Arabidopsis thaliana: one gene and its partners. The protein of the gene in region 3 interacts with the protein of the main gene of each other region in a pairwise test. Each region holds a gene or a part of one and is shown on either strand. Other genes may lie near its edges.

Region 1 (6,870 bases), on a different chromosome or scaffold from region 3:
TAGAAAGCCGAGGAAGAACGAAATCGAGAAGACCACGACAAGAAGAACTATCGATTGTACTACACCAGGAGAAAAGTTCAGAAACTCGCGCTAAATCCGAGCCAGAAGAGGTTGCTATGGAAGAGCCCCAGGCCGAGCAGCAACCTGAAGTAACTTTCGAAGAGGAGGAAGAAGCTGCTTGGGAAAGCCAAAGCAATGCAAGCCATGATCATAATGAGGTTGATAGAAAAGCCGGTGAGTTCATAGCCAAATTCCGAGAACAAATTAGGTTGCAGAAACTCATATCCGGTGAACAACCTAGAGGAGGAGGCACTGGTATTTTCAGAAACAGCCAATTCAGATGACACTCACCACCATTTATTGCCTCATTACTTGTATTAATATTGTAATTTTAATTCATCGGCATTGTTGATGAGAATCTGGTTGTCACTCTCTTTGTTTGAAGTTTATATTGTTGAATAAAAATGAACTTTTAACCTTATTAAATTTTGCTCGGAGTCATTGTCCAAAAATACCAAGTTGGTTAAGAGTCCACAAGACCACAAGTAAAGTTTTCGTCAACTTTGTTTGACCAATGACCACACGGATAAATTGGTAACAAAAGGAATTGTGGGTCCAAATTATAATAAACTGAAAATGGATGGTGTAAAATGTAATTTATCTACAAAATTAAACTTTAGGATAAACATTGGATTTTTGCAGGAATCGCCGGAGGGAGAAGCAATGGTGACGATTCTATCAACTCCTCTCTCTCCAAGACTTACATTTCTCTGTGAGTTCTTCCCTCTATCTCTCAAAACTCTTATTGATCTTACGATTCAGTAAGCTGGTTCCATAAGACTAGTTAAGTGACCAAAACTGTTCCATAAAATCTTATAGGTGAAACAAAACTGTCATTATCTCGGAGCAATCGCTCGGTATGTTGTTCATTGAGTGAAGAACCAAAAGACCAATGGTAAAATTTGCAATCTTGAGAGATAATTTTTTTTCCTTTTTTTGGTTTGATTCTGGAGATAAAGCTTGGTCTTTTAATTGCAGCTTGAGTCGGAGAAGTCTTGTTTATGTTTTAGTTGCTTCGCCGTGTTTGTTGTTACCAGCGTTGTCTTCATCTGCGAAGACTAAATCAAAGAGTCCTTATGATGAGAGACGGTTACTAGAACAGAACAAGAGGATACAGAGAGAGAACAATGCTCCTGACGAGTTTCCTAACTTTGTTAGAGAAGGTTTAAGCTTTTATTCACTGTTTCTTTGAGTATTATTCATTCTTGAGTGGAAGAAGAATATGAGAACTTATTGTCCTTTTGTTTGTGTTTATGTTTTTGCTGATATAGTGCAGGTTTTGAGGTTAAGGTATTAGCTTCTGATAATTACATCAAGGCTGATTCTGGCCTCATATATCGGGATTTCAATGTTGGTCAAGGTGATTTCCCAAAAGATGGTCAGCAGGTACTACTTCCTCTATGTTAGATTAGTTAAACTTAGGATCTGAAGTTAGATCATTTATGGAATTGGTATGCTCTTTACTTGGATATATAGAATTGAAGATATCATTGAGTTTTATGGTTATTTTGACAGGTGACTTTTCACTACATTGGCTACAATGAGTCTGGAAGGCGAATAGATAGTACTTACATACAAGGTTCTCCTGCTAGAATCCGCATGGGAACCAATGCACTTGTTCCAGGCAAGTAGAAGACATTAACTTGGCTCTTTAGTAGTAGGATGTTAATGAAGAATCTTCTTTGACAGGAAACACATATTGAAGATTTTTAATACTATATGGATAATGATGATGCAGGATTTGAAATGGGAATTCGTGACATGAAGCCCGGTGGGCGAAGAAGGATTATAATCCCTCCAGAATTGGGACCTCCGGTTAGTGTTCTTACTTGTTCCTTACAAGTATACACTTGTCTGAACTGTAAACCTGACTAGTGGTAAACTTTTGCTGAGCCATTCCGTTGAATATACCATCCCTCTATCAACAATGTTTCAAATGGAATTACTAGCTTGAGCATGCTCGTTTAGGGACATATCTAAACCAATGTAGATTAGACTTGTACTGTGTAAAAACTGTCTTCACTTTGGTTCGATCATATTTTTGACAAAACAAAGTTCATTGGGCTCTAACCAGGTGGGACCTTCGACCTTCTTCAGCTCGAAGCAATTTGAAGTTTTCGACGTGGAGTTGCTCAGTATCCAGAATTGTGAGAGGAGGACTATAATAGGTTTCTACTCAGATGTCACATGCAGTTAACTTCCAAATGATGGTCATCACTAAGCTTCAATGAACCTGCATTCTTCAATCTTCAATACTCTAAATCTGCACGGCAGATGAGAACTACAAAGAAACAAAAAGAACAATTATTCTTTGCTTAGGCATTTATCTTGTGGGTTTCATGTAGAGATGCACAATTACATAGAGAGACAGATAAAGATCATGTAAAGTCTCGACCTTTTTCATAATCGTAGTTTACTTTTGTTGCTTTGTTGATCACGTTTTAAGCGTTTGGAGCTTTTTGATATCTTCTGTCTCTCTGTATCTGTGCGTTTGTCAAGTTAAAGCAATGCATTGTTTCGTTAGTTTTATAATTTCTACCCCAAATTTTGGCACTCTTTATGAAACACCCCAAACAAATAATAAATTGTACAAAGATACATTGAAATTTGGAACGGTAGATGTGCAATGCTCATCACATTTGGAAAGTTAATTACGAAATTTTCATCTAAAGACGTTAAGACATTTTATGTGTGGAAACTATAATTTGCAAGTAAAGCAACTAAAACGATAAAAAGGGTAAATGAGTAATTGCGACGTATCCACTAAACCCTTAGTCTCAGCTAGAAGGTTCGGTTTGAGTTTTCTTTATCCCCAAAAAACCCTAAACTCTTCTTCTCGCCGACTTCTCTACTCCTTTCCAGAAACCAAGTTTCAGGTCATCGGTGAAATTTGTTGTGTTCCCGGCGACTTCTACTTTTCACCTTTCTTCTCGGCGTCGTCTAATTTCTAGGGTTCCCCTGTATTTCACGTGAGAATCTTTGGCTTCTTTTTTTCTTTCGTTTCGTCTGTTCGAATGCATAGTTAGGTTTAGACTTGAGAATGTTGCATTGTTGGATTAGATTCATACTTCAGATTAGGGTTTCAGTTTCAATTCGTTAAGTTGATGAGCTCGAGTAGCTTAAGATCATCTTTAAGCTCTCTTAATTCTAAACAGTTTTGTGACTGAAATTGCAGCGTCAAGAGCAAATCCAACATGTCGTCGCTGCGTAATGCTATTCCACGGCCTGCTCATAAGGAGCGATCTCAACCGTAAGCTATTATTGCTCTCAGGTGTCCTTTTTGTTCTTTTCTTCGTTTCTCTTCTTAAAGTTTGGATTTTTAAACGTATCATCAGGGAAGCGAGGAAGAGGTTTGGCATCCTCGAGAAGCATAAGGATTATATTATCCGAGCTAATGCTTATCACAAAAAGCAGGAAACTTTAAAGGTAACTATTACACTCTCTGTTTTCAATTCCATCTCTCCTATGATTATACTGTCGAGATTATGTTAATAAAGTCTTTCAAGTAGACATTTGTTAGTTTACGGGATTGATTGATGATATCTGTGAGATAGCTAAGAAACTAAATCGTTGGGAGTTCAGTTTCTCTTACACCGTTTTACTTTACTGCAGATACTTAGGCAGAAGGCTGCATTCAAGAATCCAGATGAATTCAACTTTAAGATGATTAATAGTAAAACAGTTGATGGACGTCATAGACCAAAGTAAGCATATCGAAACTCTTCGTTTTCTTCTTTTTGCTTTTCACTATTATCTCTTTTGCTATTCTCATGGTTTCTCGTTTTCTTCTTGGTTTGTAAATTTTGACAAAGTTATTGTTTTCAGAGATGAGGTAAATAAATACTCTGCGGAAGAGCTTATGATTATGAAGACTCAAGATATTGGATATGTGTTCCAAAAATGGCAGAGTGAGAAAAACGTAAGTTATCTTTCCTCATACACACCCCAAGAGCTTTCTGCTTACGATCATATTTATCCAGTTTTTCTCTTTGTTCCTTCTTATCTTTTGTAGAAAATTGACAAGCTGACTGCATCGCTGCAATGTACTGGGGATCAGTCAAGCCGTAGACATGTTTACTATGCAGAAGACAGGTTAATCCCAACTTTTAGTCCTTTCTTTACTTGGTGTAGCTTTCGTGATTTTCTCATTCATTTTGAATGTGTCATATGGACACTGCAAAATTTGATCCTCCTTACCTTAACATTTAAAAGACATTACCGGTACCACATTGTTTGTGTTTTCTTATAATCTTCTTTTTTAACTCTGTTGTTCCTTTATCAGAGAGGAGGCTAGAGAACTGGAGGTACAAGGTAGAAGCAAAAGTGATATCTCTACAGTAGAGATTCCGAAAGATATTAAAAAGTATGTATCTGAAATGAATTAGATGTTTTCAAAGGTATCAAACGGACAATCAATAGTCATTGTATTCTATTTTCTTAAAACAGGAAAATGGATAGGTCCTATAGAGACCTCGAGGGGCGGAAGAGCAGGGCTAAAGATTTGGAGAAGTTATACACGGATATGTCAATGCAGAAGGAGTTACAGGTTATCATCAGTCCCCCGAACACATTACTGTTTCTTGGTATGCAACTAGACCATCTCTGATTAAACTCTTTTAATGGACAGAAAAAGGGTCGCAAACGGAAGCTGCGTGATGACGAGCTGCTCAATCCAAATGGTAAAGCGGTATACAAATGGCGCGCCGATAGAAAACGCTGAAGAGAAAAGCTTTCATGGTTGTGTAGCTTGACATCATTTTTCTGATCTCTATTAAAGTTTATATAGCAGGCAGTTTTATTATAGTTTTTTTGATCTCCAGAACCTGCAGAACTTTACATACAATTTTGGATGGGACAATATCTGTTTACTTTAAGCTCTTTGTTGCGTATCTGGAAAAGTTTTACTAATGTGATTGACGAAATATAAACACATGAATCCAAAATAGAAGATTGAAGACTTCAAAATTTTACCACTAAGATAAAGTTCGGTATACACAAAAAGACTGTTTGTAAATAGCAAATAATGGGCCCTTTTCTTTCTGATTGGCTTTTACCAAAAATACGCAAATCTTACTCAGCTTTTAAATTTTGGTTTTTGTTTAAGTTTTAGATTTTGTTACTTAAAAGACTCAAAAAATATTGGTTCAGCCTTTTTAATTTATTATTTATTTACTCTTATGTAAAGAGAGAAAGAAAACAAAAAGCAATGGGACTTTAAATGATTTGGTACAATTGCTGTTTTAGTACAAGTTTAAATTTGGAATCAAATCCTAACTTATAAAGAAAAACAGCCATCTTTGGCATATAACACAAATGCACTGGCTTATGATATTTGCTATTTCTACTAAAAAACAATTAGTCTTAAATAATTTCAGAAAACATTATAAAGTCATTTTAATTAAAGGCATAAGACACAAATGTTACCCCTATGTTTATGATATGCGTTATTAGTTCCAATTTTTCAGAAACCTATTAATTGTCTATATAAAATAAACTTATAATTAATTATGTTTAGCCAAAAGATTTAAAGTATATAACATTTTAAAATTATTGATAAAAAATAAAATGACTAACTAAAAGAAAGAAAGATATGATACACCACTTTTCTGTATCTCAATATAAACACGCTAAATTTTACGGATTATCCGTTAAATTTGTTATATTTTCAACTATAATTCAAATAAATTTTAATATAATATACATATAAATGTGCAAAAATTCTGTTAATACTAATCAAGTAGTTTTCATAACAAGTCATCGTGAATTATTTACATACTAATATATCACAAGAAAAACGTTTATCGTAATTTAGAACACTGGTTAGAACAATAATTATTTATCAAATTGTTTTTTAAAAAATGACAAAAATAAAAGTTAGGATTTAAAAAAGAGAAGAAAAGAGGAATGGTAATTGGGTAATATATAATGTACCGTGCAAAGGAGGTGATTGAAGCTCTTTGTTACAATTACAATGCCTATATGAGCTGTGGTTTCAACATCCGCCCTTCTCGTCTCTCTCTCTTTACCTTCATTGCCCAATTCCTCTAATTCTTCCTCCTTTCTCTGTCTCTCGGAATCAGGGAAGATAAAGTTCTTCCTTTTTTCTCCAAAGGTGATTACTTTAAGCTCTTTTGCCCTTTTTTTTTTCGTGTCACAACAGTTTCTCTGTGGGCTCGTCTGAATTCTCTCCGACCATCATCACTCTTTCAATTGTTATTTCCAATGGAGTTTGTCTGAATTGAATTTGCATAGTAAAGGTCAGAGATTTGTTTAAGTCTCTCCTCGCTTTTCTGTTCGAGGGTTTTTCTTCTCAGAATCCGGCGAGAGCATTCCTCAGTTCTTTCTGTTTGTTGAATTTGATTTCTCTTTTATCTGCTATGGGATTTTAGTTTTGGAGCCATTGAGTATCTAAATTTTCCAAATTGGGGACTTGTTTGATCTTATTGTTTCTTCTTGTTCTGCAGGTTTGGATTTTCTTCTAGGTGGAGTAGGATCTGCGTTTATTTTATCATTATGGTCTTTATAAACAGAGTGCTTTAATTTTGGTAGCTGCAAGGGATTGATTACTCGTTAGAGTGTGTATTTATATCTGATCAAGATATGAGTCGTAGGGTGAGGCAGAGAGTGGAGGATAATGGAAAGTATAAGGTTGATTCACCAAGTTATACTGTGATTGGAGTTGAGGATTTAGCACCTAAGGTTCAACAGTATGTGAATTGGACTAGTTTGCCTTATGACACAGTGTTTCATTTGTTTACTCGATTGAATTATCGCGATAGAGCTAGCTTAGCCTCGACCTGTAGGACATGG
Region 2 (7,981 bases), on a different chromosome or scaffold from region 3:
ATATAGTAATATTTGTTTCGGATTAGAAATCCTGTTTATATCCCCTATAATACTAATCTGACTTTAACTGAACCAGGTCGGTTCAGTCTGCAAAGTTTTTGACACTACAACATCTCTATTTGTTATTGAGATCACCATTGATTTTGTAAGAAAGGAGATATATAATTCCACTCTTATTTCGAATCATAGTTTAGAGGTCGTGATGACAAGGATGTTCAAATAATTGTTATTTCTGAATTTATAGAAAGTAACTAAAAATTTCAAATTTTTGGTTAATTAACAAGAGTTAAAGAGAATAAGGTACAATGATATTTGTACTTAAGAAAATATTAGCATATAGAATAATACACCATCACTTGAATTGAAAGAACTTTGAGGAAAATATGAAATATATATGAATTGGATATCCAAAATTTTAGGATATGCATGTCGGAGGGTCTGTCCGAAAATTTGATGTGTGGCATTAGATGCCAATTGGTTGCTTGAAACTATATATTATAAAAAAAATTATAAAAGAAAAGACAAGAGTAACAAACTTTTAAAATGCGATATCATACAAAATAAGTGAGTTCATTACTTATACAGTGATGAAAAACTGATTTTATTTGATAAGATTTTAAAATTAACTTGATCTTTTTCATCATAATTTTCTCAGAATTAATATACACATGTAACACAGAGTTACAGATATTGACCTCACTGGAACAACTAATAGTAGAATATTAGAAATAAGAAACATTTTTTGTAGGATCACTCTTACTGGAGTATAATTTATTGATTGAATGCGATGTTCCGATTAATTTTAGAAATTTAATTGGTCAATGGTATAATTGATAGTAATTAGAATATATATATTTATTTCAGCTTTTTTATCTATACGTCTAGACTATAATATCGTTGCAAGCAGGTTCTAACGTCATGTGTAGATCCTTTAAGCAGTTCTTGTAGCATCACTTGCATTTTCACGATCACGTAGCCTTATTGCTTAGTTCAATTTTTATTTTCTTTGACTGTGCCTTTAGAAAGGTCTGAGGGTGATCCTACAAAAAACTAGATAACTCGATATATAAGACCACATGTCAGAAACTTGGAAGGGTTTAGTGATTAGACGACTAAAACATCATAAGCTATCCAATTAGGAAAATTAAGTACTAATAAGAGGACGAGATTCTCACATCTCAAATACACTTTACATATGTAAAGCTTATTTTTGCTTCATTAGTTTTTAGAGATTAATGTTCTAGAAATGTTATTATATGAAAGCATAGAGCAACTAAACAATTACAACTTCTAAATGCTCTCTTATTTGCCTTGAATATAAATTTGATTGGGTAGAAAAAATCTTGTATCATCAAATCAAATTGATATATCCGCCCCGAATTTGTTTTAATATGCATATATCTAATAATTAATTTGTATTACATATGTGCATCAAATATTAAACAGAAGCATTTTAGAGAATTAATTTTATCAGGTCCACAATTAGTTCATCGGTTTTCAATGAAACCTAGATACGAAAAGAAATTTTGATAAGACTTTGAATTGCAAAAACTCTTTAAAAAAGTTTAAAATATTTCTAAGTAAGAAGAATCTTCTACCTTCCTGGCCACTTCACTAAAGTCCGGTGGGAAGATTCTGCGACTCTCAAACTTCTGTCAATATTATTTACTTAAGTGAATATCTGTCCTAGTTTATGGTAATAAATTAAATCAGATATTCCCTTTCTTTCTCTTTTTTGCATCCACTAAAATTTAGAATAATTATTCAACTTTTTTAAGAAATTCAATTTACAAAAAAATATTGATCAATCGTTATCTCTGTCTCTCTCTCTCGCCGTCGTGCAACTATAAATATAAAAATCTTGTGGCCTAATATGTGCTTCTTTGATTTATATTGAATCTCAATTCCTTTTGAAAATTTAAAATAATTAACTATATAAATTAAGAAGGTGGTAGAAGAATATTTGTTTTTCTGGCAACGACTATAAATTTCCCAAAATGTACTAAAACGTTCACAATTTATTCCTTTCACATAATTGCGTTGGTGATTCCATAATTTTATTTTAACTTTGTCGAATATATAAGATAATTAAGAACCAAATACCTGAAATGTTAGCTTAGATCTATTTTTCAGTCAACATGAGCTAAGATTTATAGGAGAATTAGGAAACATATTTTATCTTAAGAATTATGAGACTGAATTTACGAAAGTATAAGCTATGTGAAGTGGTGAACCAACAAAAGCAGAATCTGAGATTAAAAACAATATATCGCTTTATTAGAAATAATTTAAAAGTTTGTATTCTTACCCATTTGTTCTTTATAACAAGTTTCCATATATTCCCTTTTGCTCTGCTGCTTTATATCTTCCTCTTTTCTCCTTTAGCCTCTCTTTTCTCTTTCTTTCATATGGAATTATACATAGATTAATTTTCTGAAGAAGTGATTAAAAACTAAGCATTATAAGAGAAGATAAAAAAACAAATCAAATGGTTACTAATTTAATGATTTTACTAATATTTACCAAGCCATAGTTTTTTATATATTAACTATTTTGTTTAAGATTCATGAAGCCATATATGGTAGCATCAAAAGCCTTGATTATAAGCTTTTTGAGAAATGAGAGTCACACATGATACACCTTTAGTAATATTGACTCATTAGAAAATAAAAATAATTTATCTTTGTTATATTTTCTCAAATTTTGCTCAAACACAAGCAGCACTTGATGTAAAACAGTTTTTTTCCGAATAATTTTACATAATATTAAAAAAAATAAAAAAATATTGACTCATTAGAGAAGAGGAACGACTTCTAACAGTAAGAAGCCTCTCACTCTCTCTCTCTAAAAAATACACCTCCTTAGTCTCTCCCTCTCTCGATAGATATATGTGTGTGTGTGTGTGTGGTGACAGATCACATTATTCCGTTCCTTTGAATTGAGCCCTCTAAAAAGGACAGGAACCTCCTTGTGATCCTCCTTGTGTCCACAACCTAACATTTTATTCCCCTTTTCCTCTATCTTCTTCTTCATTCGCTCTTCCTCTCCAAACCCTAATTTCCAAAAACCCTGAAAATCTTTGAAATATTTCTGAAGAACCATATAGCATATACATATATCATCTGAAACTTGAAGGCACCACAAATTCTTCTTGATTCCTTGATCATCTATATTATATTTATATAATCAATAAATATTCTTCCTATACAGCGAGAGAGAGAGAGTATATAAGCTATAAATATGGCGTCCTCATCAGAACTAAGCTTGGATTGCAAGCCACAAAGCTACTCTATGCTTTTGAAATCCTTTGGAGATAACTTTCAGAGCGATCCAACCACACATAAGCTTGAAGATCTTCTCTCTCGCCTAGAACAAGAACGTCTCAAGATCGATGCCTTCAAACGCGAGCTTCCCCTTTGCATGCAACTCCTTAACAATGGTACATATATCCATTTACAATATTTAGATCTACGTATATATACTTGTGTATAATATGATCTTCAAATAATCCCTTTATTACCAAAAAAAACCTAGTGAACCATTAGTTTTTTGAATTTCTTTTCACTTTTTTTTTTTTGAAAAGATCTTTATTCATTAATTTAAGAATTTATTTCATAAAAATCAGAGCTTGCTTTTGATTTCTTTGAATCACAAAACTTTTGTTTCCTCCCAACACTGAAATCAACAAAACTAACTAAAGTGATTTTAAAGGTTATAAGGTTCATGTTATATCTGTTACTTTCATATTTTAAATTACTTTACCATCTTTAATTAGTTTGATTTTTTTTTCCAGCTGTGGAAGTTTACAAACAACAACTAGAAGCATATAGAGCAAATAGTAATAACAATAACCAAAGTGTTGGTACAAGACCAGTTCTCGAAGAGTTCATACCCTTAAGGAACCAACCCGAAAAGACAAACAACAAAGGAAGTAATTGGATGACGACTGCTCAGCTATGGAGCCAATCCGAAACCAAACCAAAAAACATTGATTCAACTACTGATCAATCTCTTCCCAAAGACGAGATTAATAGTAGTCCGAAACTCGGACATTTTGATGCAAAACAAAGAAATGGCAGCGGTGCTTTTCTTCCCTTCTCTAAGGAACAATCTTTGCCTGAATTAGCTCTATCCACGGAGGTCAAGAGGGTCTCTCCGACCAACGAACATACTAATGGCCAAGACGGTAATGATGAGAGCATGATCAACAATGATAATAACTATAATAATAATAATAATAACAATTCGAACAGCAATGGAGTTTCTTCTACAACGAGTCAAAGTAATAGAAAGGCACGACGTTGCTGGTCGCCGGACTTGCACCGGAGATTTGTCCAAGCTCTTCAAATGCTTGGTGGCTCGCAAGGTACAGATACACTTATTCTAATCAACTAAGTATTAATTTGAAGTAGCTTTACCATGGTTAATCTAAAAAAATTGTCAACTAATTAAAACGATTTTTTTAGTAGACATGATATTTGAGTCACCAAATACATACATCATTATCGTATACTGCATATTTTATACATGGCTAGTATTATCATTTGTGGTTTATTCGATATTTAGGTAATAATGAATATGGTATGGCAAATTGCCATGATTTCCATTTTGCTATTTTTATTTTTTTCAAAAGGCATATTATAAAGTTTTAGTTGGCGTTTTCTATAGTTTTTTCGGTTGATAAAAAACAGTACATAAAGTGAAATTGAATATACGATAGATCAACTTGAATCAACAAAAAAAAATGAGAGATCAACTTAAGTACTTAACAATTATTCAAATATATGTAGTTAGTTTCCAAATAAATTCTAATTCTAATTCTATTTTTTTCCGGTTTAGATATGGATTTAGTTTATTAAATATAGATTAAAATAACCTTGTTAACCTAATAAAAAGTGTTTAATTTTTGAATCGAACTTGTATCCGTATTTATATGTTGGTTATATCATTGCAGTGGCTACACCTAAACAAATAAGGGAACTCATGAAAGTTGATGGTTTGACCAATGATGAAGTCAAAAGCCATCTCCAGGTAACTTAAATCACAAGTCACCACAATATGCTTTACAACTTTTTTTAACTCATATTTAAGTACTTTACTGGTGTGTTGATTTTAAACAAACAGAAGTATCGGCTTCACACTAGAAGACCAAGCCCAAGCCCACAAACGTCAGGTGGGCCAGGTCCACATTTGGTGGTCCTAGGTGGCATATGGGTTCCACCGGAGTACACCTCCGCACATGGTGGCACTCCGACTCTCTACCACCACCAAGTCCACCACCACCATACCAACACGGCAGGGCCGCCTCCACCACACTTTTGCTCCTCTCAAGAATTCTACACAACTCCACCGCCTCCTCAGCCGCTCCACCACCACCACTTTCAAACGTTTAACGGTTCATCCGGTGGCACCGCCTCTACCGATTCTACTCATCATCAGGTGACGGACAGTCCCACAGTTGAAGGGAAGTCACCGGAGAGTGGTGGTGGAGAGAGAAAAGGGTTGGCTGCTCTTAGGGAAGAATGTGAAGATCACAGCAATATTAATGGAAGTGAAATAACTCTCAAATTCTAAAAAAAATAAAGATTCTTGATTAATTAATTAGAGTAATGAGATTTTAGGGTTAGGGTTTGTGGGTGCCTACGTAACTTATTTCATTGCTTGTATCTCTCTATATATTTTCTCAGTAGAAAATGAATCACAGGAGGCAGCGAATGTTTTTATCGAACATTATGAATATCATATCATCACTTAGAAAATTCATTTTGATCATGTTACTCTTATCGTTAGATAAAAACATGTATTCAAACTGGTAATCTCAAAGGGACTATCGTGTCTGTGTTTACTTTAGTTGGTTGATTATATGAATGGATAATGTGGATTGATCATATGAACTTGTGTAGGCGTTAACTATGTGTAAATTGATTAATTCATATGGCCTTTGTTTGTGTTATCAATGATATATATGAAAATTGTAGTGATGTTAAACATTTGAGCAGCTAAATGCTATATGTAAATTAATGATTTAATCGTTGTTTCCATTGTATATATATTTAGGTTCGATCATAACACAAGTCAAAATGACTTGCCGTTTAAAATTAAGACCATCATTAAAATTAGATTGTTGGAATCTCTTTGGTATTGCGGCAAATTTTCTAGTAATTGGCAATGTATAGTCTTCTTCGGTTTTAACTATCTACTATTTGTCCACAAATATTGCATTAAACGCCACAACAAATCTGAATATTTGATTGGCCGGTATGATGCATCTTCATGTGCTAGATATGGAGTGGTGGTCCTTGGAATTTTGCTCTAAAAGTCAGCGATATTCTTTATTTTCATTACATAAACTAGTCGACGCACCACTTCTGCATTTAGTTTTTCATAATCATATTATATACTCTAATATTTGCAACCTAAGAAAAAACCATTTGATGGAAAAAAATTAGGAAAAAAGAATGTCAAAAATTTGGAAGGTGTTAGAATCATTTTTGTTATGAGACAGTATTTAGGTTGGTGTAAATCTTGGTTTGAAACTTGATTGGTACATCTCCAAACATGTTTTAGTTTAGTCAGAATAATTTTAAATGAAGAATGATAATTGATAAAAGATATATTTTCTAGAAAAGGCCACAAAGAAATCGAAACTTTATTCGCTATTTCTTCTTCTTTTAAGTTAACAAAATAAGAATATTCTCATTCAATATCGGTGGCTAATTCAGCTTACAAAAGAATTTTGACCTTTCACATCTCTTGAAAACACTTTCATAAACAAGTCCATTTCAAATTTTCATTTGTAAACTAATATAAATTATATGTGACAAACTGACCAACTAATCTAAAATTAGTAATTTAGAAATTAAGCGTTGCAAAGCATGAAAAGTTAAACGACGATCAAATCGAGACAACAGAATCTGCAGAAGAAACCATCAAAACCAATGTTGGGTTAAGTTTTGACCTGACCCTTGGGTTAATAATTACCGTTTTTAAGTATAAAATAAAAGACACCACTACCTACGAAAAAATAATTATGAATTAACTGATACAAATAGAAAGTTTTTAATTACCAAACTTCGAATGTATCGTGCACCAACCACAAAGGACTAGAGGACCAGGTCAGCATTAACTCATAGGTTATGCAAAAATTTCTATAATTTGTCAATTCCCAACTTTCATTTTCCTTCGTACATTATCAGATGAACACTAAAACATATTGATTTGCTTTTATTGAGTCTACTACCATTATGGTCTCACGATGAAATCACGACTATTAATTGGTTCTGCTTTTATTTTGACTAAGAATAATTAAATTGTACCAAACGATAAATGAAATAATTACAATTTTTAGCAACAAAAAAGAAAAAGAAAAAAACAAATGTTGAGACCATATACATTTTTGGAGTTTGGACACTGAGATTTTCAGATTCTTGTCTGTGGTTAAACCTCGGAACCAGAGAGAGATGGTATGGTCTTTATCACTCTCTTTTATTAATAAACTCATATCTCTCTCATCTAAAATCTCATCTCTTCTTCTTCTTCTTCTTCTTCTTCTTCTTCTTCTTCTTCTCCTCTGTCTTTGAAGCTATCTTCTTGGATTGTGTTTAGGAGTTAAAAACTTGCTTTGGTCCATCATGAGATTGCTTCTTAGTCTCTTGTTTCTCTTGGCTTTAACCACCTACTCAAGTAAGCTTTTTGTTCAAAATGATTCTCTGTTCTTGAGGTTTCAAACAAAACCAACTCTCTCTCACTTTCTCTGTTTCTAGGTGCAACTTATTGTCTATGTAGAGATGGTGTTGGAGAGAAAGATCTTCAAACATCGATAGATTATGCATGTGGAGTTTTAAAAGATTGTAATCCTATTCATGAGAAAGGTCCTTGTTATCAACCAAACACCATCAAGAGTCATTGTGATTGGGCGGTTAATACTTATTTCCAAAGATTTGGTCAAATCTCTGGAAGCTGTAATTTCTCAGGAACTGCT
Region 3 (9,225 bases):
AAAGCAGGGTTTATTTGATTGACAAAGAGTTCAAGTAAGCAGATGTTTTACTGTTATGATTGCTAACAATGTTTTGTAACTTACTGACTTCTGTGTCCACTTTATGATTACAGTGTTATTGGATACACTTTACTTTTAAGTTTGATTGAGTACAAGACTCTTGTGATGCGTGGAGATTTGGAACAGGCTAATGAAGTCTTACCTTCAATTCCTAAGGAGCACCATAATAGGTATGAGAATGTGCTTTCCCTCGCATTATGGTTACAGCTGGATTATGGTGTTAGTAAACATGTATCCAAGGTCACATAATGGTTTAAATTGTTTTCCTAAATTCACGCATTCCTACTTTTCTGATTCTCGACTTCAAAATCCTGTTCGTTTTGTCAGCGTGGCACACTTTTTGGAGTCACGTGGCATGACAGAAGATGCTCTAGAAGTAGCAACTGATCCTGACTACAGATTTGAGTTGGCCATACAGCTCGGTAGATTGGCTGTCGCAAAGGTTAGTCTGTAGTTTTTACCATTTGAGAAGCTTTATTTCCATGACTTACCGATATGTTTTTACTCGATTCTTATTTTTTGACAGGACATTGCTGTAGAGGCACAAAATGAATCTAAATGGAAGCAACTTGGAGAATTAGCTATGTCAAGTGGGAAGGTGACCATTTTTTAGCTGCAATCAGTGTTCTAGGATTCTTACAAAGGTTAAAGCTAACATGTATTTTTCTTTTCATTTTCCTTCCCATGCTTGGACTACTTAGCTGGATATGGCTGAGGAATGCATGAGGCATGCTATGGATTTGAGTGGTCTGCTGCTGCTTTATTCTTCATTGGGAGATGCAGATGGAATGATGAAGCTGGCAGCACTTGCAAAAGAGCAAGGAAAGAACAATGTCGCTTTTCTTTGCTTGTTCATGTTGGGTCAAGTAGAAGACTGCCTGCATCTGTTGGTGGAAAGGTACATTGTTTACTATTTCTTACATGTGGAACATATATTCCCGCAACTAATTACGTCTATGCTGATATTAATATGGTTACAGTAATCGAATACCTGAAGCCGCTCTGATGGCGAGATCGTACCTTCCAAGCAAGGTCTCCGAAATAGTGGCATTGTGGAGAAACGATTTGACCAAGGTTAGTGGTAGACACATCCGATGCACCTTGTGATTGAATTTCAAACCTTGCCTGTTGAGATATCCACAATTTTTCTTCATCCTCTGTCAATCTGGATATAGATAAGTCCAAAGGCTGCTGAATCTCTGGCTGATCCCGAAGAGTATCCCAATCTCTTTGAGGAGTGGCAAGTCGCCCTGTCCCTTGAAAATAGAGCTGCAGAGACGAGGTATCTTTTCGTCGTTGCCGTCATTAGCTTATTCTTAAAAACAGTGCTTATGAGGAAACCTTTTTAATTGAATTGTGGGACTTAAGCCATTTAGAGTCATGTGTCTGTATTACATAGCAAGGTAGCCGTCATGTATTTGCTTATAATTTGAATTTATACCCGTATAAACATAAGCCGAATGTCGATTTCATTTTTTCAGGATCCTCATAAACAAAGTATTTTTGTTGACTTATCTTGCAGGGGCGTCCATCCTCCTGCTGGGGATTATTGTAGTCATGCAGACAGAGATCATACAACTTTAGTGGATGCTTTTAGAATTATGCAAATAGAGGAAGAGGGTCGACTTGAGCAAGGGGATGTTCTCGACGAGGTATGCATGTTTACATTACATGCATTGAAGAGGATTGTCTTTTACCCATGATATCCAATCCAATGGTCTTGGCCATGGTGGACAATGGTAGGATCATTAATTCTACTGTCGCTGCTTCATTTGTTGTGAACAGGTTGGGGAAGAGGGGGAAGATGGAGAGGAAGAGGAGGAGGAGGATCGTCAGGAAGAGAGTAGTGATGGGAGACAGCAGAATGTGGAAGAAGAGGCTGTTGTGGTGGACGCTGACTCTACGGATGGTGCTGTGCTAGTTAATGGTAACGAGTCTGAAGAACAGTGGGGTAAGATTAGTGAAGGAACCGCATCAGCCTTATAGCATTTGTGGTTATCAATTGATTATAAGATGTCGCTGCACCAAAATATCCTTTTGCCATCTGCACATATATCATAGGATTTGCGTTTGCATCTGTCCATCAATGTTTCCTCATCTGTCTGCCTCCCATCTTCGTCTTACTGATCATCTTACTTTTGATGTTGACTGTCTTTTAAATAGTGCTTCTCTATGCCATTAACTTTTTTATCAATCCGTGGACTGATTAAATATTTGTTTGTTGTACAGTTCTAACACCGCCACAAGAGTAGGGTTGGTGAAGAGTGAAGACATACACAGATAGATATTTTCTTGGCTTTGAAACTTGATACATTCAGCAGAGAAATGAGGCAGCACAGAGAGAGATTAGTTTCCATTGTTAAAAAACTGATCTATTGATAGCTTCCGCTTTGTGCTTTTAATACAGATACATATTAAAAAAAAAGGGGGTTTTGGGACTCTTATGTAGCTTTAACTTATGAGAGATTTCACCTGTAGAATATCTGTTTTGAACTGAGATTTCACCCATATAATATGTTTTGACTTTCGATTCAATAGGTTATGTAGTTGATATCTTTTTTTTTTTTGCAAAACTCAATAGCAGTAGCAAAAAACTTAATTGGAAATAATCAAAGTGAAGGGATAAGTTGGGAAAGAGCCAGAGGATAACGCATGGTGCATTATTATTAGTATTGTGGAGGAGACGCATCTCGAAACATCTCTCAAAGCAAACAAGGACCCAAAACAAAGTTCCTTGCATTCTTCCACTGTCCGTAATCACCATCACCATATCATTATTCTTCTACCCATTTTGTCTTGGAAATGATTTTAAATTTTCTTGTTGCTTCTTACTGCAAACTGTGTATAGGTTCAACTACTCCATTGAGTTACACACTTGCATGCACCTATGGAAGTTAATTTTCCGGTTTTGATTGATATTCAAGTTGTTGACCAATGGAGTTATATACCCTTGATTTATATAGAAACCACATGTTTTATTTATATTAACATGGTCACTTTTGTCAGGATTAATAGACAACAATAGTTGAGAGAAAAAGTGATAAGGTAGAGCTAATTTGTATTAAACTTATCAATTAGTATTGTTGGTTAAAAAAAAGTTAATAAAGTAGTCAAGTTGGATAATTCCCAAAAACTGGGAAAAAAGAACTCAAGCGTCAAATGTTGTAGGTGCATCATCATCAGTCTACAAGTAGTAAAAAACCCATTCGATTTGATAAGAAGACCCAACGGAAAGAGTCTTCCCGTCTACAAAGTAAACCCAATCAATCTTAATAATCTTTAAGAGGTTTTTTCTTATTATAATTATCTATCTCTCTATCTATCTATCTGCGGATCTCTCATGAAGAAACACTGAGGAGATTCTCTCGCTCTGATCTCCTGGTATCGTCGTCTCTCTCCGTAGAGATATACTAGTTTGTCCCATATCCGATTGATTGCTCTATTCAATTTATTCCTCTTCTAGGTTTTCGGTTTGGCCCTCCGATTTAGAGGGATTGATGGCCCCTGATGGCGTTGAAGACTCCGACTATGAGAGTGATCCCGACGAGTTGAACCGCTCCTTGGCTACACGGAGGAGAGAAGCCAGCGATGATGATGAGGATGATGAAGAAGCGGACGACCATGATAAGCTGCGAGCAGCAATCCAGATTCATTCCGATGAACACAGTGGTGTTGTTGTTGTCGACTCTGATGATAATGAAGGATTGCACATAGAAGATAGTTATGGTGATGATGACGACGAAGAGGAAGATGGTGATTATGGACAAGTTGATGACCATGTCGAATACATTGCGGATAATAATGACAAGACAATTGTCGCCGGCAATGGGACCGATGACTCTGCCGCCACTGATCTTGTGGATGGAGAGGAACAAAAGAAGAAGGAACCTTTTGCAGTGCCTACTGCTGGAGCTTTCTATATGCATGATGACAGATTTCAGGAATTGGATGCCGCCTCTAATAGGTAAACTCTTTTTGATTCTATGAGGAGGTAGTGTTTTGTCCAAACTATGCAAATGTATCTATCTACTATTGAGGTAGAGTACATTGATAGGTGAAATTAGCAAACGACTTTCCGTCATTCAATCTCATGATGTACTTCAGAGTTCAGATAGATTGGAACAACTGCTTTGGTTTTATGTTTTAACTTTGATTGTGAATCTTTATGTATGAATCTACCCGAGATGCCATCACACTGCTATTTTTCCATTTAACATTCTGTTTAGTTACATGGTAATGCCAACCGATATAGGTTTTCGTTTTTTATTTCTGTAGGCGAATGCGTGGTGGTAGGAGGCTCTGGCAATCCAGAGATGAAAGAAAGTGGGGACATGACAAATTCGAGGAAATGAATACACAGAAACAGCAATATGATGTACTTTTCTCTGATCATCTCTCTTTCTCTTTCTCTCCTTTTCATAAATATATTTGTATTCATCGACTTGTTTCCTCTTGCTGTGTTTATACATTTGCCACCTCTTTTTTCTTTTTCCTTTTTTTTTTCCTTTTGAAAGCTGATTAATTAAACTTGTGAACATAGAGGAGGACTTCGAGAGGCCGAGGCAGAGGTCGTGGTCAGGGTAGGGGTCAGGACCGTGGACAGTCTCGGGGGAACAATTCTAAAGAATTTACTGGCAATGGACACCAAAATCAGTTTCCGAAGGCTGTCACGAGAGGGAGGGGGGCCAGAAGATATGAGGTTGCATTGAGAAATGGGAATCAAGCACCTTCTGTGCAAACCAAACAGTGAGTCCTTAATTTTGTTTCCTCTCTAGTCAACACATGAAGGCTCTAGGTCTCTAATTGTTGTGTCTTTTTACGGAATCTTTAGGTCCCAAAATTCGTCTGTGGAAGTGTCACACGTTGATTTAGGGCGTCCACCAACAGAAACAGCTACCTTAGAGACTGAAGCCATCCAAGCCAAAAAGAATGTATTTGCTTCAAGTTTAAATTCAGCTTCTCCTCCATTTTATCCTTCAAGATCCAACAATAACTTGGCACAAAAGGATGTACAAGCTGGCATGGGTAGGCTGCACATTAATGAAAACCCTAATCCGACTGGAAAGAAGTTTGGGAATACAAAATCCAGCTCCTTGTGGGGACGCACTGCTCAGACTACAAGTCATGGTAGAGGTGTACCTCCTCATGGGCAAGTGCTTTACCAGCAATCTCCTAATCAAGGTGACAAAGTTTCTTCGCCGATGCAAATCCGTGGAATGCCTAAAGGCACTGACCAGAGCTGTACTCAACTTCCTGGTCAGGTTTTTAATCAACATTCGGCTGTTATCAGTTTGCTGCCTTCTTCTCCTCCAAAAACCGGATCATCAGAAAATCCGTATCTTTCTGGTGAAATAGAGTCAGCCGTAGAAACAGGTGCTTTGGTTGCCAAGGGAAAAGGGTCTCTCCAACCTAGTGGAAGGGGATCTTTTATGTATGGAGGGACACAGTTTATGGGCCCTGCCGGGATGGCAGCTGGTCACGGCAATCCAAATTTCCCTGCTTTTCTACCTGGTAAGTTGTTCTTGAATGTCATTGTTCATCCTACATTGTAATGGTTGAAAGACATCTTTCAGAATCAATCTATGCATGCTAGTGAAATTGAGAGCTATTGATGCTGAGCCGCTTGGCCTGGTTGCCCATGTCTAGGGCCGCTTGAGAACGGCACCTTTTTGTACAGGTGCTAATATGCACGCCTGACTAGTTTAAACTTGTTTGTTTTCATTTTCATGTTCAGTTATGCAATTCGGTGGTCAGCATGGTGGGGTTCCAACTTTTGGAATGGCTCTTCCAGGTTATTTCCAACCAGAACATGGTACCGGAAATCCTGAGATGACATGGTATGCAGTTCCACAGCTATGTTTTAAAAGTTATATATTTGGTGCATTCTTAGTTGACTTGCTGCATGCTTTTGTAATTTGAGAGGATGTTTAATCTTGTAACTAGTCTTTTACTAGCCCAAACAGAACCTGAATTATTGCTTTCACTCGTCTGCTGTTTGTTTTTTGTTTGATTTCCCTATTTCTCTATCTATAGTAGGTCCTTATTACTGCTATTATTTTCTTAAATTATTGACAGGCTGCCAATTTTGGCTGGCCCTGGAGCATTAGGGGGTTCATATTGTCCACCTTATACTGTCCTTGATGGTTCTTACCAAGCAGACAAACCAGGGTTACCTTCCTCTGCCGGATCGTCCAGGTTTAGAAATAATTTTCTCAGTATTGTTAATCAACATGTCATTTCCATATGCATATGTGTAGACTCTTTGCTTTTTACCTTAGAGGAAGAGTAGTATGGGAATGCAGCTTTAAGCCCTTAACTAAGTAACGTATGTGAGATTTTAGATTTGTGGTTCCTCTTATTCTAGACCCACTGCAAAATGCTTGTTACCTGTTAGATTTACATTTCTTAAGTGCTTAGATTAGTAGTTTCTCGACTATGTACACCCAGAAACATGTAGTTTTCATTAAACAGACTCACTTTCTTGGTTGGGCACTCATGTAACCATGTCAATCATCTCTGATTATGAGCGTCTAGTAAAGCATATAATTTGAGCTCAAGTACCCAATTACCTTATATTTTTGATTTTTTGTTGCAGCCAAGAGAACAGTTCCAATAATCCTAATGATGAAGAGCCCATGGAGAGACCTGGTAAGTAATAACTCTTGCCAATTAAATGGGGTTGTTATAATGGATTCAGAAGATTTTGTTGTGTTTTGGCGAATAAGAAATTTGAATGATTACATGGAGAGACTGATTCGTATGGGGGTTTATTGATGTAGAGGTTACGAACAATGGGAATTCTCAACGGTCAAATAGCAACCCAAACAAGCAGCCTCGTAGGTGAGTTTTGAAGCAATCTAGTTTATTTATCGGTCAGTGTTAGTGTGACGTGAAACCACCTTGAAATCAAAGTACCACAGGAGTAGTTGGATACAGATATTTGTGGAAATGAAATGTTAATATTGGTCCAGGATGAAATGAAACACTAACGAGCACATGTTGACGAGGGATGTGCAGATACTCGGAGATGAGCTTTAGCAAGTGAGTAAAGAAGAGTGGAAAGGAAGAAGGTCATCTAATTTGACTAAGTGGAGTGAAAGGAGGAGGGTGAGAGAGAAGAGCTCCTTAGGAGCAGCAGGCCCTTGGTGCTTCTCCAACTGCTTTATGAAGCCGTTTGGGCTGCTATTATTGTTACCTATTTTTATTAGGTACGCAATTTCTCTCAAGATACCAATTGAAGAGAGGTTTTAACCACATTATAATTTGAACTTGTGTTTGCTGTTTTGTTTTCAGGAGGTTGTTGTGCAATTGAAAAGAATTTTTGTTTTGTTTTCGTTGTTATGAGAGCTTGAGCTTGAGCCGTGGGCGTCCTTCATCTGTAATTTATTCTTTTGTCCGTTTGGGTTCAAATTGATATTTTGTAATGTTGATATGTGTTATTCTGTTTTCGTTTGTCAACTTCTTTATCAAAAGTTGTGTGCCCTATTCGTACGCCTGCGAAGTCCCCCCAAGAATTGCCCATGTTGAGTTTTGATGGTAGTTAGTTGTCTATGTTTTATATTTTACGCAAGGGGATAGTGGTGGTGCTCAGTCAAATTTACCCGATTCGTGAGAAATGAGTCATTGAGGAATTGTTACCATATATATAAAGACATGCCTCCGCTCTGGTTATTTAGTTATGCGACAAAAACAAAACAGACCGCATAGAATAGATGCAACAAACCAAGTGTATAGAAACTTTATTCCTTGGCGCAGCAAAAAAAAAAAAAGGGATAGAGTCTCCGTTGATTCAGGTAGCTCAGCGTCCTCTGAGATGAAACGATTGTTGTTGTTTGTTTGTTGATTTTAGTTTTTAGTTTAGTGGAAGATGATCGGTAATAGCGTCTACATCTCACCGTCACCGTCACCGTCCGACCACTCTCTCTCGCCCAACCCTAATCTCTGCATCTCGGCGGTTGGTTTCTACTGTCTTCCTTTCTCTCTCTCTATTTACTACAAATTTTGATTTCAATTTGGGTTTCCGATTTCGATTTCAATTTTGAATTTGATGGTCTTCAGATGGAAGAGCAGCTGGTTGTTGATGATGATGATGATGACCTTGCTCCTCCTCCAATCCCTGATCTCGATATTGACCTTGAAGATGATGATGACGCCTGTTGTCACGGCTTGCTTCATATCGCACCTAATCACGAAGAAGAAACTGGATGCGACGAAAACGCTTTTGCTAATGAAAAGTGTTTGATGGCTCCTCCTCCTACTCCTGGAATGGAGTTCGAGTCCTACGATGATGCTTACAGTTTCTACAACTCATACGCCCGTGAGCTCGGTTTTGCTATCCGCGTCAAGTCCTCCTGGACTAAGCGTAACAGCAAGGAGAAACGTGGTGCTGTCTTGTGTTGCAACTGCCAAGGTTTCAAGCTGCTTAAAGATGCTCACTCCCGGAGAAAGGAGACCCGCACCGGCTGCCAGGCCATGATTCGCCTTCGACTCATCCACTTTGATCGATGGAAAGTTGATCAAGTCAAACTCGACCACAACCACTCCTTTGATCCTCAACGTGCCCACAATTCCAAGTCTCACAAGAAATCCTCCTCCTCAGCTTCTCCTGCAACTAAGACAAATCCCGAACCACCTCCCCATGTCCAAGTCCGGACTATCAAATTGTATCGAACCCTTGCCCTTGACACACCACCCGCTCTTGGAACTTCACTCTCTAGCGGGGAGACCAGCGATCTCAGCCTTGATCACTTCCAATCTTCAAGGCGCTTGGAGCTCAGAGGGGGTTTCAGGGCCTTGCAGGATTTCTTCTTCCAAATTCAGCTTTCCAGCCCCAACTTTCTTTACCTCATGGACCTTGCCGACGACGGGAGTCTCAGGAATGTCTTTTGGATTGACGCTCGAGCTAGGGCTGCATACTCTCACTTTGGCGACGTTCTTCTGTTCGACACCACTTGTTTATCTAACGCATACGAGCTTCCCCTTGTGGCCTTTGTTGGAATTAACCACCATGGAGATACAATCTTGCTCGGCTGTGGTTTGCTTGCTGATCAGAGCTTTGAGACCTATGTCTGGCTCTTCAGAGCGTGGCTAACCTGCATGTTAGGCCGTCCCCCACAGATCTTTATCACGGAACAGTGCAAGGCAATGCGGACCGCTGTCTCTGAA
Region 4 (6,357 bases), on a different chromosome or scaffold from region 3:
CAGCAGCAACAGATGCTGATGTATCCTCATCAATATGTTCCGTATAATCAAGGTCCTTATCAGCAGCATCATCCTCAGCTTCACCAATACGGGTCTTATCAACAGCACCAGCACCAGCAACACAAGGCTATTGACCGTGGATCTGGAGATGATGTCAAGACTCTTTGGGTTGGTGATCTTCTTCATTGGATGGATGAGACTTATCTCCATTCTTGCTTTTCTCACACCGGCGAGGTATTATCTTGTTCATTGGTACTCTGTTTTGGATTTAGATTGTTACTTGTAAATATGGTTAAAAATTCATCCTTTTTGCAAATCATTGACATGTTCTTGTGTTTTGATTCATTGTTAAACCAAGTAGCTATTTTAAAAAACTAGTTAGTTGGATTAGATTAGATCCAATGGATATAGAAACAAATAGGGTAATGGAGAACAACTTTGACCTGAAAAGGACAGGACAAGTTCATATTTCGTTAGGCAAAAAGTACTCTTGTACCTTGCCACGTTTAGTTAAAACTTTTCTGGTATGAAAGAGAATGATTGCATAAGATTTTCACTTTTCATGAATAAACTTATATCCAGTTATACATGTGTTCTGTTTTGTTCTTTCTCTGAAGTTTCTTGTTTTTTTTTGTGATGAGCAGGTTTCTTCTGTGAAAGTTATACGTAACAAGCTCACTTCTCAATCAGAAGGGTATGGGTTTGTTGAGTTTCTTTCACGTGCTGCAGCTGAAGAAGTTCTTCAGAACTATAGTGGTTCAGTGATGCCAAACTCGGACCAACCCTTCCGTATAAACTGGGCATCTTTTAGTACTGGTGAAAAAAGAGCAGTGGAAAATGGTCCAGACCTATCTGTTTTTGTGGGAGACTTGTCTCCAGATGTCACTGACGTTTTATTGCATGAGACCTTTTCTGATAGATATCCTTCTGTCAAAAGCGCCAAAGTTGTGATTGATTCCAACACCGGCCGGTCCAAAGGTTATGGTTTTGTGAGGTTCGGTGATGAAAATGAGAGGTCAAGGGCTTTGACAGAAATGAATGGAGCTTACTGTTCGAACAGGCAAATGCGTGTAGGTATTGCAACTCCCAAAAGAGCGATTGCTAATCAGCAACAACATTCTTCACAAGGTTTCTTTTCATACTTCTCTCTGCAACTAGTTTTACCCTCTGATTCTTTCTATTTAAGTGTACTAGTTTTAAGCGAGAGGTGAGCCAGTTTTAATCCATAGGACTCTAGAGCTAACAACTTGTTGCATTCAACAAAGTTTTTGAACTATAAAGATTTTATGTTTTCATTGGAATAGCTGTGATTCTGGCTGGTGGACATGGATCAAATGGTTCCATGGGTTATGGCTCGCAGTCTGATGGCGAATCAACTAACGCAACAGTGAGTTGTCATATTTAGTTATATGTCAGCATCATTCAAGCTCTATATGTTCTTGCTGCTCATCTTAGGTTATTCTACTGCAGATATTTGTTGGCGGCATTGACCCTGATGTTATTGATGAAGACCTCAGACAACCTTTTTCCCAGTTTGGAGAGGTTGTTTCAGTGAAGATCCCAGTAGGGAAAGGATGTGGATTTGTCCAATTTGCTGACAGGTGCTGTCTTCATCTAGTTAGTAGTGTTGGCTTGGCAATCATATGATTGAGCAACCTGTAGGTGCTTATCTCATAGCGAGTAATTCAAAGCGACTTGCCTTTGGTTTTGACAGGAAGAGTGCTGAAGATGCTATCGAGAGTTTGAACGGGACAGTCATCGGCAAGAACACTGTCAGACTCTCCTGGGGACGAAGCCCAAACAAGCAGGTAAAATTTCACTTTGGAGTTGATGCATTCTATCAGTAGAAGAGTAAATTGAGTATTTTGCTAGGGTCAAACTTTGTGAATAGTTGTTTGTTTTGTTATTAAAAGTAAAGTCAGTGGTTGACAATAATAGCTGGTGGAATCTAGCACCTTCCCTTCGTTTTCTATTTTGACTTATGCAAGTGGGAGAATATCTAATACATGTCTCCATGTCCAACTTGTGTCACCAACCCTGAACATGGTCTTATGTCGACATGTTTTGGTCTAGGACTTAACCAAATTGGTTCTGCTGGCAATAGATTTCTTTTTAGTTCTCATAATGTGTTCAACTTGTGGCAGTGGAGAGGAGACTCAGGGCAGCAGTGGAATGGAGGATACTCACGAGGACATGGTTACAACAATGGAGGAGGATATGCTAACCACCACGACTCCAACAACTATCATGGGGAGAATTGAAGAGACTCATCAAGTGATCATCTTCATCATGGTTTCACATATCAAAGCTAAAACCTGTAGTCGAAAGAAGAATTTTGTTAGATGGATTTGATTTTGATAGACTTGTTGTTTGGAGGAGATTCAAAAATTTTGGTTACTGGTTTGTCTCAGACTAATATAAATGGTTGCAACTTGTTGGATCAAAATTCCGCTTACCTTCTACGAATTGCTTATAAGCCCAAAACTTTCTGAAATTAAACAAACAACCCCAAAACTTTAAAATTATATTTATTAACTCACATTAATTTTAAATTTTTAGCTATTAGCCCTTTCTCTCTCACTTCTTCAGTTTTTCTTCTACTCTCAACCTCTCCGGAGAGAAAAAAATCGGAGAGTGAAGATGGAAGAAGCTTTCATGGCGATGCTCTCACATCTTCTCCATCTCCAAAACTCATTAGATCCTACAAGCACTCTCTTCTCTTCCGCATCCACATCTTCACAGTCTTCAACCACACCTTCCTCCCTCCTCTCCACTTCCTCCGCCGCGCCTTTACTCTTCTTCACTCTCGCATCTCTCCTCTCCTTCCTCGCCGTCAACAGATCTTCAACCGAATCCTCATCTTCCTCAGAATCACCTTCCCCTTCCCCTCCTCCGCCTCTTGCCGACGGCGATTACTCCGTCGCTGCCTTCCGTGCCCTAACCACAGACCACATCTGGTCACTCGATGCGCCTCTCCGCGACGCTCGTTGGCGCTCATTGTACGGTCTTTCCTACCCAGTCTTCATCACCGTCGTCGACAAGCTCAAACCATTCATCACCGCTTCAAATCTCTCTCTCCCCGCCGATTACGCCGTCGCTATGGTCCTCTCTCGTCTCGCTCATGGCTGCTCAGCTAAAACCCTAGCTTCTCGCTACTCACTAGATCCATACCTCATCTCCAAGATCACAAACATGGTCACACGTCTCTTAGCCACCAAGCTATATCCAGAATTCATCAAAATCCCCGTCGGAAAACGGAGATTGATCGAAACGACTCAGGGATTCGAAGAACTCACCTCTCTCCCCAACATTTGCGGCGCCATTGATAGTACTCCGGTGAAGCTCAGACGCCGCACGAAACTAAACCCTAGAAACATTTACGGTTGCAAGTACGGATACGACGCCGTTTTGCTTCAGGTTGTTGCTGATCACAAGAAGATCTTTTGGGACGTTTGTGTGAAAGCTCCAGGTGGAGAAGACGACTCTTCTCATTTCAGAGATAGTCTTCTATATAAGAGGCTTACTTCAGGAGACATTGTTTGGGAGAAAGTTATCAATATTAGAGGTCACCATGTGAGACCATACATTGTTGGAGATTGGTGTTATCCTCTTCTCTCATTCCTGATGACTCCATTTTCACCAAATGGCTCTGGTACGCCACCGGAGAATCTATTCGATGGAATGTTGATGAAAGGAAGGTCAGTGGTGGTGGAAGCTATTGGATTGCTCAAGGCTAGATGGAAGATTCTTCAGAGTTTGAATGTTGGTGTGAACCATGCTCCTCAGACTATTGTGGCTTGTTGTGTGTTGCATAATCTTTGTCAGATTGCTAGAGAACCTGAACCGGAGATTTGGAAGGATCCAGATGAAGCTGGAACGCCTGCAAGAGTTTTGGAGAGTGAGAGGCAGTTTTACTATTACGGGGAGAGTTTGAGGCAAGCATTGGCAGAAGATTTACACCAGAGACTCTCCTCGAGGTAAAAGACATGAACAGATCTTGGTCAAAAAATGGAGCTTTCTATCTTTGTTATCATGTAAGAAGCAGATGCTTTCAAGTGTTTAGAACTTTAGATAGCATTGTAGATTCAATCCTCTTGAGAAGAAAGTTTGAGGATTCAGAAATGTTAAAAAGCTGACTTTGTTGCCTAGCCATCCCAACTGTCAGTTTTGTAACTTAGGAATGGGTTTATGGTTTGTTCTGTAACACCTTTTGAGAATGAAATGTATGACTTCTATTGATATGGATTATGGAATCTTGAGAAGCAAGTTTTTCCGAATTTGAAATATTAATAGCTCTCTGTTACTGTAAGTTTTGTGACTTAGGAATGGGTTTTTATGATTTGCTTTGTGGCACATTGTGAATGGAATCTGAATCTTTTTCCTGGAAAAAATGGAGACAGCCAAATGAAAAGAGAAAGGGATGTTCTTAATATCTGTCTTCCATGATTTGGAAGAACACGACTGTGGATTATCATCTTATTATACAACTCTCCAGGCCTGTCGGATTTTTCTGGATACTCTCTTTCTTTGTCGGAACTTAGCATTCTTTTTCTAACACTATAAACATAGGAATGGGTCCTGAAAAAAATTCCAATTCCCAACCCCAATCCACCCATTTGCTTCTTGCAGTTGTATGTTCTTCCTCTTTCGAATCCGTTATAACACCGAGTCACTTTCCTCATCGCGTTTTCGCTAAAGATTGTCGAGTCGAGACACCGTGCAGCAGTTTGACAAAACCCAAGAAACTCAGCTTCCCGTCAGTATGTCTTATCCAGTCATTTAGAATGGTATGAACCGGGATGGATGATCCAACACCAAGTTCCTACAAAACATTTATGTTCCCTTCGTTTAGGAATTAGCTGAATAAATTGTTAAGCATGACAGAAGCAAGTGTCGAATTTCTTATAAACTTACAGAAGCGAGTTCTTCGATGACGATAACTCGGTTTCCATTCATTTCAAATAGCTCATAAGCATGACGAATGCTCTGCTCCCAACAATCAAGAGACTCATGCTGATGAACGCTAATGGAAGCTGCACAAAACTCTTCAAAATCCATCCCTTTGTATTGAAGTCCATTTAACTGTCATTTCCCAACACCAAACTTTCGTTAACCAACCTTGGATTGTATCTTAAACAGATTAAGCAAAAGGACAAGAACAGAAAGGAGACAATACCAATGCAAGAAAGTCCGGGATCCGTGATTCCTTCATTGCTTCTGTTGCATTTGTCGCAAGTGCCTGTCCAACAGAAATAAATCTAGCTTTGAGCTGTTTGCTTTCTACCAGAGAGAGACAGAGAGGAAGAGAAGGCACATACCAGTCTGATGCTATCTAAAGTGATGAGGCCATTTTTGTTGGGTGCTAAGTGTGCAAACTGCGCTTTCAGATAAAGAAGTTCATCGGTAGTTAATGTCTTGGACAGAGCCTGGAGAGAATAAAAGAGTTAGCAAACTAGATACAAAGGTAATAAATATCAAACACATCCTTAAATGTTGTTTGGAAACAGTAAAAAAGGTTAGAAGCAAAATGTACCATCAAAGCAGCTTTGCGCAAAGACGAAGATCTCAAGTATGCTTTGATCTGCTTGAAGATCAGAATATCAAATGGGATATCTATTTTCTTATAACCCGCGATCCAAGGATGCACTGTAAAAACCGGAAAAAAACGTGGAGTAACTTCAACTGGTGATTCATGAAAAGCTAGAAACAGAAGATAAATATAGAAAGATGTGGATATTTTAGAGATTACTGACTCAAAGCTTGAGATGCAGTCATTCTTTTCCGAGGGTCCTTGTACAATAATCTCTTAACAAAATCTTTTGCCTCAAAGGATAACGAAGGCCAAGGAGGTTCATCAAAACTGGGATCAGCTTTTAGAACTGCTCTGAAAATTCCTGATTCAGTTCTTGCCCAAAAAGGACGGCTTCCACATAGGAGAATGTATGCTATGACTCCTATGCTCCATACATCCGCTTCTGTGGTATAAGATCTGTGTAGAACTTCAGGGGCTACGTAATATGCACTTCCCACTATATCATTTAGTCTTTCGTCTGGTCTGACAAAGTCCGATAAGCCAAAATCTATGACTTTCAACATAGAATTCTCCTCCTTGGAAGTGTACAAGAAGTTCTGAAACATGAAAGTGTTTCAAATGTGAGATTGGTATTCAACTAAGACAATATTTCTTTTGGGTTTTGAAAGGAAAAAGCAAAGACAAAAAGTGCGGTTCACCTCTGGTTTTAGATCTCGATGAACAACTCCTTGGAGATGACAGAAAGCTACGACGTTAAGGATCTGTATAAGCACTGCTTTTGCATCATCTTCAGAGTATTTTCCTCCCCTGTAAGAGAAGTAAAT

The links.
Region 1: the proteins of AT1G80000 (region 3) and EDA14 interact in a two-hybrid assay, tested with the Arabidopsis thaliana proteins (one large-scale study listed by BioGRID).
Region 2: the proteins of AT1G80000 (region 3) and AT2G03500 interact in a two-hybrid assay, tested with the Arabidopsis thaliana proteins (one large-scale study listed by BioGRID).
Region 4: the proteins of AT1G80000 (region 3) and AT3G19120 interact in a two-hybrid assay, tested with the Arabidopsis thaliana proteins (one large-scale study listed by BioGRID).

Annotation. Positions count from the first base shown.
Region 1 is NC_003074.8:22,310,387-22,317,256, reverse strand, and holds EDA14 (embryo sac development arrest 14), read left to right. Parts: upstream 1-2,829; 5' UTR 2,830-3,029; intron 3,030-3,235; 5' UTR 3,236-3,254; coding exon 3,255-3,310; intron 3,311-3,395; coding exon 3,396-3,486; intron 3,487-3,672; coding exon 3,673-3,764; intron 3,765-3,885; coding exon 3,886-3,979; intron 3,980-4,072; coding exon 4,073-4,152; intron 4,153-4,342; coding exon 4,343-4,423; intron 4,424-4,506; coding exon 4,507-4,606; intron 4,607-4,687; coding exon 4,688-4,780; 3' UTR 4,781-4,999; downstream 5,000-6,870. Other genes in the region: AT3G60380 (cotton fiber protein), read left to right, coding at 1-344; AT3G60370 (FKBP-like peptidyl-prolyl cis-trans isomerase family protein), read left to right, coding at 637-772, 880-955, 1,039-1,223, 1,337-1,446, 1,576-1,684, 1,799-1,875, 2,135-2,257; ARABIDILLO-2, read left to right, coding at 6,661-6,870.
Region 2 is NC_003071.7:1,056,686-1,064,666, forward strand, and holds AT2G03500 (Homeodomain-like superfamily protein), read left to right. Parts: upstream 1-2,859; 5' UTR 2,860-3,240; coding exon 3,241-3,439; intron 3,440-3,793; coding exon 3,794-4,366; intron 4,367-4,954; coding exon 4,955-5,031; intron 5,032-5,124; coding exon 5,125-5,574; 3' UTR 5,575-5,994; downstream 5,995-7,981. Other genes in the region: AT2G03505 (Carbohydrate-binding X8 domain superfamily protein), read left to right, coding at 7,632-7,683, 7,764-7,981. UniProt on the Arabidopsis thaliana protein: Transcription factor acting as a flowering repressor, directly repressing FT expression in a dosage-dependent manner in the leaf vasculature.
Region 3 is NC_003070.9:30,089,638-30,098,862, forward strand, and holds AT1G80000 (CASC3/Barentsz eIF4AIII binding protein), read left to right. Parts: upstream 1-3,169; 5' UTR 3,170-3,557; coding exon 3,558-4,024; intron 4,025-4,335; coding exon 4,336-4,435; intron 4,436-4,600; coding exon 4,601-4,806; intron 4,807-4,891; coding exon 4,892-5,571; intron 5,572-5,794; coding exon 5,795-5,897; intron 5,898-6,135; coding exon 6,136-6,255; intron 6,256-6,655; coding exon 6,656-6,708; intron 6,709-6,839; coding exon 6,840-6,900; intron 6,901-7,031; coding exon of another isoform or gene 7,032-7,041; exon of another isoform or gene 7,042-7,077; coding exon 7,078-7,105; 3' UTR 7,106-7,268; intron 7,269-7,353; 3' UTR 7,354-7,686; downstream 7,687-9,225. Other genes in the region: AT1G79990 (coatomer subunit beta-2), read left to right, coding at 1-34, 114-230, 388-502, 587-658, 762-958, 1,041-1,134, 1,236-1,342, 1,583-1,712 and 2 more; FRS8 (FAR1-related sequence 8), read left to right, coding at 7,928-8,014, 8,119-9,225. UniProt on the Arabidopsis thaliana protein: Core component of the splicing-dependent multiprotein exon junction complex (EJC) deposited at splice junctions on mRNAs.
Region 4 is NC_003074.8:6,607,302-6,613,658, reverse strand, and holds AT3G19120 (PIF / Ping-Pong family of plant transposase), read left to right. Parts: upstream 1-2,520; 5' UTR 2,521-2,640; coding exon 2,641-3,981; 3' UTR 3,982-4,309; downstream 4,310-6,357. Other genes in the region: RBP47B (RNA-binding protein 47B), read left to right, coding at 1-234, 645-1,128, 1,305-1,387, 1,471-1,601, 1,715-1,808, 2,145-2,261; AT3G19100 (Protein kinase superfamily protein), read right to left, coding at 4,679-4,822, 4,915-5,082, 5,177-5,239, 5,319-5,426, 5,534-5,646, 5,754-6,129, 6,232-6,340.